Linked DNA regions of Saccharomyces cerevisiae S288C. Changing the gene in region 2 together with the main gene of any one other region gives a genetic interaction. Each region holds a gene or a part of one and is shown on either strand. Other genes may lie near its edges.

Region 1 (5,338 bases), on a different chromosome or scaffold from region 2:
GGTCTGAAGTTGGAGAAACTTTAACTTCAACGGTGCTACGGTCTGCAGGTGGAGCTTGGTAAGTGTTCTCACCAGCATCATAACCTCTTTGAGGCAAACCATCACCATGTGGTGGTTTCAACATGAACTCATTACCATCCTTGTCCTTTAATTTGTCTGTTAGAGGGTTGAATCTCAAATCACCCGCAATGGCGAACGCAGTTACTAATTCTGGAGATGCAACAAAAGCATGAGTTTGTGGGTTACCATCATTTCTAGAAGTGAAATTTCTGTTGTAAGAGGAAACGATAGTATTCTTGTCACCTTTCTTGATATCTCTACGATCCCATTGACCAATACATGGGCCACAGGCGTTTGCCAAAACGATACCACCAAATTCTTTGAAGGTTTCTAATTGGCCATCACGTTCAATAGTGGCTCTGATTTGTTCAGAACCTGGAGTAACAGTGAAAATGGTCTTGGATTTCAAACCATGAGCAGCAGCATCCTTGACAATGGATGCTGAACGAGACATATCTTCATAAGAGGAATTGGTACAAGAACCGATCAAACCGACTCTGACATCCAATGGCCAGTTATTAGCAACAGCAACTTCCTTCATCTTAGAAACTGGAGTAGCCAAATCGGGGGTAAATGGCCCATTGATGTATGGTTCCAGAGTGTTCAAGTCAATTTCGACGACCTCATCGTATTCAGCATCCTTATCAGCAGATAATAGGTCCTTGTGGTATAATTTAGCAAAGTCAGCGATCTTACCACGACCAGTTGCTTCCAAATATTCAATCATAGATTTGTTGAATGGGAAAACAGATGTGGTAGCACCGATTTCAGCACCCATATTACAAATGGTACCCATACCAGTAGCGGAGAAGGTGTCAACACCATCACCGAAATATTCAACAATTTTACCAGTACCACCTTTGACAGTTGTGATACCAGCCAATTTCAAAATAATATCCTTTGGAGAAGTCCAACCGTTCATCTTACCAGTCAACTTAACACCTAAGATCTTTGGAGCCTTCAATTCCCATGGACGACCTGCCATAACATCAACGGCATCAGCACCACCAACACCAATAGCCAATTGACCTAAACCACCAGCATTTGGTGTATGGGAGTCAGTACCAATGATCAAAGCACCTGGGAAAGCGTAGTTTTCCAGAACAATTTGGTGAATGATACCGGAACCTGGCTTCCAGAAACCCATGTTATATTTCGCAGTGGCAGAGGCCAAGAAATCATAAACTTCCTTGTTTAGATCTATAGCTCTCTTCAAATCTTTTTCACCACCAACTTGTGCTTGAATCAAATGGTCACAGTGGACAGTGACTGGCTTAGCAACCTGTGGTAAACCAGCGGACATAAATTGTAAAATAGCCATTTGAGCAGTAGCATCTTGACAGGCAACACGATCTGGTCTTAATTTTAGGTATGAAACACCTCTCTGAATATCTTGACCATGAGGGTCATCCAAGTGACCGTACAAAATCTTTTCCGCGTAGGTAAATGGCCTGTTTAATCTTTTTCTTACGATATCCAGCGTTTCCACATTCTGCTTGTAGTTAATAAAAGAATGATCTTCTAATAAGTTTTGGTTGACTTTTGAATCTCTAGTCAAGTTGGAGACTGTCGCAAGACCACGAACAATGGGTCTCTTGATGGCAGAACGTGCAGACAGCATTGTATATCTATAGTAATAATGGTAGTATTTATTACCTTCGTTCTACTATGTAATAACTAAGAAAGAGTGAACAGAACAAGGGACAACGGAATTAAGCAACATACTCCTCCTAATTAACCTCTAAAACCGGAAGATTATATATATAACAAAAGATTTTCCTTGTCCTCCCTTTTTGTGCTTGCCTTTCCGAAAACCGGCAGCGATTGGAGGTTTGATGGTTAAAGTCGCCTGCGGAGAACAACTGAAGGGTTCAAATTTTTCTCGTATGCACTAATTTCTCTATTGATTGGTCAGGACCTTTGCCGATTTCGGCGCCGAAATGCTCGAAAAACAAAGGGTATTGCCCGGCCCCGCGGACCTCCCTTTTGCGGCTCTCGGCCATTTTTTAGGTAATTTGACACCGTGCCCAAATGGCTTGGCACAATCGAGAATCAGGCACCCGCGTGTGACCGGCGTCATTCATTAAAGCCAGATAAGACAAAGTAAAATACAATGGATTATGATTAATACAATGATATACAAAAAGAGAGAAAATAAACGAAGGCTACGTCTGCGTAATTGACGATGGGAAACTGGTATTTTTATATAAGCATATGTAAAGTGCGAAGTATATCAGTACGGAATGCCATTTGTGAGCCTTTGGAATTCATCATAACCTTTAGTGAATATACTTTCATAACTTTTACGGATTAGCGCCTTCATATATAGTGCAGCTTCGTGATCGGTTTTTTGAGGTTGAAATCTTGCTCTTAGATTCCTAATTGTCTTGTGACCCTTAAAGCAGGGGAGACCGCTTCCTAACATAGGATTTACACACTCAATTATGGCCTCCACGTGCGGACGGGCGGCTAGATATGCCTTGATACAAAGTTCTTCAAAGTCCAGATACGCTGGGGTCTGGGGCGAACCTCCCATCACTTTAACCATTTCTTTCGTCAGCTTGAATGGTACTGCTTCAAACTTGATACCACCTGGGACAATATCAAAAATAAACCCAAAATCGATATGTAGACAATGTCCTTGATCATCGTACATAATGTTACCATTATGTCTATCCTTGAATTGCAACAAATACGAAATTACGCTATATCCCGCTAAGGATTTAACAAAGTTGTTTCGTGCGTTTTGAAATTCGATAGTAGATTCATTACCAAATTTACTAGTGAAATATTCATATAATCCATTAACAGCTTCACGTCCTAACATATCACGGGATACCGAATTGGGTAGCACATCGATGACACCACAACCCGGTGCCGTCGCAGTAACTCTGTAGGGAAAAACGTAGACATCCAAGCCAATACTAGACCAAATGGTTCTAAATAGCGAGATCAATTGTAACGCTAGAACATCTTGCCTACAGTCATCACCGACTTTGAAGATAGCAGCTTGCCATTTTTCAACTTCCTTGTTTTTACCTGTCAAAGGATCTTTTACGTCTTTCTTTATTTTAAAGGTCGCCATAAAAGGCGCCTTTGCGTGAGATTGAAGTGGCTTACCACTCTTCCGATCAATATCAATAACTACACCGTCAGGATTAGAAGGTAAATAAACATCAGGTTTCACCTCAATTTTGCTCATTTCTTCATCGATCTTATGTTTCTTTTCAGCCTTACTTTTTTTTATGTATGGTTTCAACTTACCAGATATGCCAGTTACTTCGTCGAAGAATTCAAATTCACGTTCGTAAAAATCGCGATGAGATTGGCTGAAACTTGAAACCATACGCTCCCTAATACGATCTAGAGTTGGTTTGATTTCATCTTCTTGTATACCTTCATCATCCTTGTAGCAGTTTGCAAGCATATTCCAGATTATTTGATGAGAAAATAACACACTAATTTTCGCAGTATCCAAAATCAATCTTTCGACATATCCGGTTTTATCGTATCTCAAACATTGTACGATTTGAGGAACATAGAAGAATGCCAAGTTCACATCTTGTGATTCCAACGAATATATGCTGAATTGTAAGATAAAAGAATTACCTTGCCATTCGGGAAGGAAAAGGTTGATAGATTTTAACGGGCTCACTGGCGCCCAGTATAAGGTTGCGTGTAGGTCTTTCTTACTGCTCAGGTGGCTTCCTTTTATGAACAGGTCAAGAGCACTTGGGGACCCCACACACATTAAAGCATGTTTTGCAACTAAGCCCACTAAAACATCCTCAGCTTTCTTGCTATAACATCGTTGTAAGAGATTTATTGCTAATGTTGGATCTTTAGCAAAGGTAGCTTCAACGATATCGCTTGTAAGCTCGTTGCTGTCGGCTCCTTCAATCTTCTCAGTCGGAGTAAGCCAGGTTTGAATCTGCTGGATTTCGCTTGCCAAGAAATAGTTCAGGATCTTGTAATCTTTCCCGCAATGACGTGACATTAGCGAGCTTAATTTGTTGAGCTGAAGGAAAAGGTCCCTAGTAACAGATAAATCTGCTTTGATTTTCAGCTCATTTGAGCCGAATGGCCACGCTACTGGTCTTTTAAACCAACTTAGGGCACCGTTTGTGATTTCTTGCGACAAACGGCCCATATACTTGGATCCCTGCTTATAACTTGCGTTTAGTACGAGAGTCGCGAATAACAATAATTCGTGGCGAATCATTCTAGCGAACGGGTGTAGTGAAGCCTTATACAGATTCTTGATACCATAAAGCGCACATTTCGTGAAAATTTTCAATAAAAAGTCACTTTGAAATAGTGTGCCCTCGAAATGGGAAGCAAAAAATTTAATAACATGAAGATGTGGTTGCATAGCTTGGGATGCATTTTTTGCATCTCTGTTGATACCTGCTTTGTCGTAAGGGGAATATTCCATTTTTTGGTATTCTTCGCCCTTTAAGTCATGATCGCGAGAATAGAGACCAATATTGTCATCAATGGAGCGCATCCAGCAATAGCATACTTCAACTAAAAGCAAATGTGCAACTTCGGGCTTCTCAGTTATGATTGTTAACCATACGTTTGTAGCAATCTTTAAAGATGCAGAGGTGAAGACTTCGAACGGGATGTGCACAATATCATATATCAATGACGCTGGTGCACCATTGCCAAGAATTAACAACGCGGTAGCCATATCAAGAAAATCAGTTACGTCTTTAGTTATAATCTTATTTCCTAAGGTCAAATTTTTTCTTATGTTTTGAGTGGAAATACCTATTTGCCTTTTGATATCCTCTGGTGATGATGTAATAGCGGTATCGAAAAGATATTTTGACCTCCAAGAATGTAAAGATATAAATCCAGAAATCGTGTTAGGTTTCTCTGGACCATAATAAGTAAGCCTTGATAATTCCTTATCTGCAGGTAAAATCAAACCAGCCATATCCATGGCAAATGAGACACCAAATTCAACAGAATTTAGCCTGCTGTACTCACCGAGATCTGATATGTATGATTGCAACAAAATCTTAGTATCCTGGTTGCTTCTATTCAATAGAATTCTTACCCATTCTTTAGCTGACTTGTGCAATCTTGATAGTGTCGTAGCGCGCCAGGACGATGAGCTTGGAACCAATATTGTTGTCTTAGAATGTTTTAATTTAAATTCATACCGTGGTTCAAATTTATGCGCCTCTGAGTCCAAGATACTATCAAATAGGGCTGTTAACATATCTAATAAGGTGTAGAGAGACAAATGATGACATAACGATGATGGAAT
Region 2 (5,614 bases):
AATATGAAAAGCAAGAATATAAAAATAGAACAGGAGCACTTAGTTCGGTTTTTTGCCATCATGTTTAATATATATATATATATATATATATATATATATATATGTGCGTGCGTGTGTGTGTGTGTGTGTGTGTACATGTATGCGGCAGCTAAAAGATGACGAGTACCTTCTAACGGCCATGTTATTTTCTACAGAAAGCATCTCACTTTGAGCGCCCAGAAAAAAGAAAAGGGAGAACAAAGTGATTAATTTTGCCTCTCGATTACATTATGAGGTGGCACTATTTGTCACATTTTATGTTTTTCATCCCGCACTTGGCTTTCATGAGAAAAGCATGTAGGACGCTTGAGTTTGGCATGCGAGAGAAGAGGCGTGTCAGAAAAAAAAACGCCTTTTGCTCTTGAGAAGAGCGGCAAAAATTGCCGAACAGGTGGAATTTCTCGACCAAAGGTGGGGTAAATATCGGTTACCCGTTTGCGAGTTCCTTTACAGTCTCAATGATTTCCAAGATGACTAAGGGAATATTTTCCATGGTGCCTTTTGCCTCGCGTACACTCACGGCACTAATGGGCGATACGATACTATGATTGTGTTCGGGATTAGTTCGATTCAATCATTCGCGCACGAGGCATGGACAGAAATGGCACTGATTTTAGTCACCGAGTCAACAAAAATGAGGCGACTCGATCAAAGATGTTTATTGACTCGTTTTTGCAACTAGAGAAAGGCATTCTTGCACGGAGAGAATGTTGACTTTAGTTGGAGTACCATTAGAGAGATGCCATTAGAGAACATTGTACTGCAGTAACGATGAGTTTAAGTTTTTAAGTACGCATGTTTATATATGAAAAAAATATACATTGAGATTACGAATATATATACTTGTCAGGAAATGCCGGCAGTTCTAATGGTTAATCCTTGTCCTATTTCTTTACGCCATTTTCTTTGAATTGATCTTCTGTGACACCGGTTCCCATAGCAGCTGTTGCGCTAACACCACCTTGAGCTAACTTCAATAACCCATCGATGTACTCCGCACCAGACCATTTTTGATGTTTCAACACATCAACACCATCGTCCATTTCCCTCTGCTGAACATTCTGGGCATAAGCTTTCATCCCATCCTTGGCAAAGTCACGAGAGAAGTTATGGACAGCTAAAGCGTTAGTGTGTAAACCGGCCAATGTGATAAATTGCCAGATGTAACCTAGATCACCCAGCCTTTGGATGAAGGTGTGTTGTTCATCAACGGACATGGCTTTTGGCCAGTTAAAGGATGGAGACAAGTTGTAAGCTAGCCATTGGTCAGGGAATTTCTCTTTAACACCTTCTGCAAACTCCTTGGCCTGTTGGAAGTCTGGGTAGTTAGATTCCATCCATACCAAATCAGCATATGGAGCAAATGCACGGGCCCTCATGATAGAACATTGCGTCCCACCTCTGTAACGGTACAACCCTTCCCTTACGCGTGGTAGCTCCCAGTCGAAGAAAATTTCGTGGCCAAGAATTTCTTTAGCGAGCTTCTTGGCTTCTCTGTGGGATGTTTCAGTCAATGGACCCACTTTAGAGGTGAATTTCTTAATCAATTCTTGCTTATTTGACAGGGCTGATCTTTCAATTTCATCAATGACGGCTTCATGGAATAACTTGAGTCCAGCGTCTCTACACCATTTTTGTTCAATGTCAGCTAGTTCTTGTCCTGATGCACCACTCATGATGGCATCATTTAAAACTTCGGCAAATGGCTCGATATTTGGATTGGTGGCACCGACAATGAAATAATGATCTCTGGTATCGATGGTTGAGCTAATCAAAGTGGCTGCTTCTGAATCAGTCCTAGCAACGACAATTAAGTCAGAATGCATGATATCAGCACACATTCTAATAGTCACCAATCTGTTAACATGTTCCTGAACGGGTATAACACATCTTCCTGCCATATGCCCACATTTCTTATTTGTAGATGTCTGGTCTTCCATGTGGATCCCAGCAGCACCACGCTCAATGAACATCTTGGTCAATTTGAAGACTGCGGTTAAACCGCCGTGGCCTGCGTCTGCATCAGCGACAATTGGTGTTAGGTAGTCAATTGGGGCACCCATCTCATCGAGTTCTTCCTGAGATTTAGCCTTTGACCGTGCCTCTAGTTGTTTTCTGTCGTGAAACAATTGGGCCTTGAACAAATGTTCCACTTTGTTTGGAACGGTGTCCATTGGATAATCAGCTAAGTCTGGACCAGGTTCATTTGAGGTGGAAGCAGTTGATGAACACTGCCAACCAGAAATATAGATTGTGTCTAAGTATTTTGCCATTTGAGAAATCTGGACAGGATCTAGGGCACCGAAAGTTTTAGAGACTGTACCCTCATTGTGATGCTTCTCTAATACCTTGAATAATTTTCTGGCCATGACCGAAGATGGGTATTCGATTGGTGGGAATGTCCCGCGTCTAACAGCAATATCTCTGGCTGAATAATTTCTCTTAGTCTTACTCCAACGTGAGTCAGACCACCATTTCTCAATTTCGGCAGCATCTGCATCTAGTTTTGCTTGTAAAGCTGCAAAATCGTTCTTCGTATTTCCAACGGGGATAGGCATTTTTCGTTGACTTTTTGTTATGTTATGCTAAGAGTTTTCTCTCAATTGTTAGGTATTTGGGTGTGAAAAGAAAAAAAGGATAAGATGAAATTAGCAAGCCAAGACAAATAATAAGAATTTTGCCAGTGAAGCAGCTCCTTTATATAATAAAGAAACGTTTTGTGAATTCCGATGTGCCTGGTTAAGGGCGGACTTTGGACTGACTTATGCTTTTCTCTTTTGCACCAATATTGAGTCACATACTGGGATGCTAGTCCGGACTATGGATATTTTCTTCTGTAAAGGGTAGTGAAAGATGACGTTGAGTGTTAATTTTGTGGTGATTGGCTTCAGTTTTGATTGTTTCGGATGAAATGAAAAAGTGACGAAGTCAGATAAGTGATCGCTCGGATGAATGGAAACCTGGGGCAAAAGGGAACAGTTTTTCTCATCGGATGACGAGTAGCAAAACCCGACCGCCCAAAGCATCCGGGTTACGAGATATTTACTTTTCAATAAATAGATTCAATTATTATTATTTTCTCGAGACATATTACTGACACAAGAAATTTCCTATGGGAGCTTGATTTAGTTTTTCCTTCTAACATTGTCATTTTAACTGTGTTGCCTTCCCTTGCTCGCAACTATGCTACGCTATATTGTACTCTTGAATTTTATTTATGTTTTGTTCCCAGCGGGCATCTTTCAATAAAATGAACTCAAGAAGAAGTAAATAATAACAAGCTATAATGGGTGGCCATTTGTGATCAAATTTGGAGTGAAACACGTATGATTATGTTTGAACTCTCTTTCTTTGATACGAAACCTCAAGCGACGTAGGTGATGGATATATTCACAAGATAACAAAGGCCGTGTTACAACATTAGATATGTAAACAACGTGCTAGAAGTTCTCCTCGAAGATCTCGAAATCTACAAAAGGGAATCGATATTTTATACATAATCCTATTATTATTTTTTCTTCCATTTTATATGCTCACTCATTATCCTTTACATTTCCAAAATCATGCATTTCAGCTTCCATTAAATTTTGATGGCTGTCTCTTAATTTTGTTATCTTTCTTTATGTCATCCTCTTACAGAGTATATGGTAATATACTAGTAATATGATTAATAGTCGATAAGTGAGTGTGAATTTTTATTCCGAAAAATATATGACGATGATCACACTATATTTTCTAGAAATAACTTAAACCATAGTGAATAAGAATCTGTAGTGCTCCTTGAGAACTAATGAAATTGCGCTAAAAACAAACCTAGTTAACATAATGTTTAGGCCAGGAAGAATCTAAATACAAACCTTATCAGTCCCAGCGTACGCGTCATTTACATTTGCGTATTGAAAATGAAAAAAAAATAATTCATTTGAAGCACTACTATTACAAAATTTATTCCAGCCCAACATTCAGTTTGGAAGCATCAAACGGCCTTCGACCATATGAAGATATTCCAGTAAATATGGTCTCCAAGCAGTTCAACTACTTTTCATGAATGTAGCATTTTCAAGGCACCTCTAACAATAAAAAAAACGACACCAGCAGGATTTGAACCAGCGCGGGCAGAGCCCAACAGATTTCAAGTCTGTCGCCTTAACCACTCGGCCATAGTGCCTATCATTATGAATTTCCCAAAAAAGAACCACTATCAGAGACATATAAAAATAAGAACACATCCACCGATATCTGTTACAATGAAACCCTAAAATATCATCCATTTGGGGTAGTATTCATGCTACCAGTATATCCTGTATGCGTAATATTATAGCCTTTTCCAACAGTGCACCCAAATATAATCACAAATCACCCAATTCTCAAATTCACTTGTTAAAATGAAAATACCAAAGCCTCATCATACCGTTCTATTGTCCATCTCCAACACAAAAGTACCATAATAATTTTCCGATTCGACACGAATACAGATAGATGGGCACATGGCAAACTTAGCTCAGTATGGGCTTGTAGGTTGTAAACGAGTCAGAAATTTCAACAATAAAAAATACATCAGATAGTGTTTCGATGTTCTTAATTACACGTGAATTATCAAAAACCATCAACATACCAGCCAACATCAGTGTAGGTGGAATAAAACTTTCTTACCATGTACAGTAAATGGACCATGACGCCGTGCACAAGCTTATGCATAATGAGCTAAGCGGGAAGACATTTTCAAACTACGTGATAGTTCCGACTGCCCTTTCAATTGCTAATGTAGCAATATGTTAGGAATGCAATATTCCAAAATGCTGTCTGTGTCAGTGAGAATAACAAAAACATTGAATAAACTTTTCTATGGTAATAACCACGCCAGATAAGGGCGTTGCCATCGTTTTCATTTTTTTTTTTTTTTCAAATGGTGGGGTCACCGTTGTGAAAAGAAACCTTTGATTCTCAACCATATCGGTACTCGGACTAATCACTTAAATCTTTCCAAGGGATTATCGAGAATGTCATAGTGCAAAATAATCTTAGCTTTCAATAATTTTTTCATTTGGAGTCACACTCCCGTTAAAACCTAGTCAACGGCTTCCACTTAAAGCTATCAACAAGGGGCAATTGATTTTGCATTTTCGTCTAAATGAAAGTTGCAGCCAGCAATTTACCCGAAGTTTAAATAAATCAATGCAAACCATGTTCAACTTAAACAGCAATCGCTTTCTATTACCTTGGAATTATATCAGAACGTCTATCTGCGAAGCTTTAATAAAGTACTGGAAGTTGTGTCTGAAATGTCTGTTTTGGTAAATTTGTTTGATCCTGATTATACACCTCAAAGGACCACGTTAAGTGGCCATATGACGAGTGTTATTGCGTGCTTGCAAGTTGAAGATAATTATGTCATTACAGGAGGATGTGATAAAACGATCAGAGTTTATAACTTAGTAAATAAAAGATTTCTTTTACAACTATCAGGTCATGATGGTGAGGTTTGGGCATTGAAGTATGCCCATGGCGGTATTTTAGTCAGCGGTTCTACAGGCAGAACGGTGCGAGTTTGAGATATTAAGAAAGGTTGTTGTAC

Evidence for each region. A genetic interaction does not mean that the proteins touch.
Region 1: of ICL1 (region 2) and ACO1, changing one enhances a phenotype caused by changing the other (phenotypic enhancement), as found in Saccharomyces cerevisiae (one study listed by BioGRID).

What each region holds. Positions count from the first base shown.
Region 1 is NC_001144.5:735,868-741,205, forward strand, and holds the start of ACO1 (aconitate hydratase ACO1), read right to left. Parts: upstream 1,682-5,338; coding exon 1-1,681. Other genes in the region: 1-phosphatidylinositol 4-kinase STT4, read right to left, coding at 2,294-5,338. UniProt on the Saccharomyces cerevisiae protein: Catalyzes the isomerization of citrate to isocitrate via cis-aconitate, a step in the citric acid cycle.
Region 2 is NC_001137.3:284,318-289,931, forward strand, and holds ICL1 (isocitrate lyase 1), read right to left. Parts: upstream 2,598-5,614; coding exon 924-2,597; downstream 1-923. UniProt on the Saccharomyces cerevisiae protein: Catalyzes the formation of succinate and glyoxylate from isocitrate, a key step of the glyoxylate cycle, which operates as an anaplerotic route for replenishing the tricarboxylic acid cycle.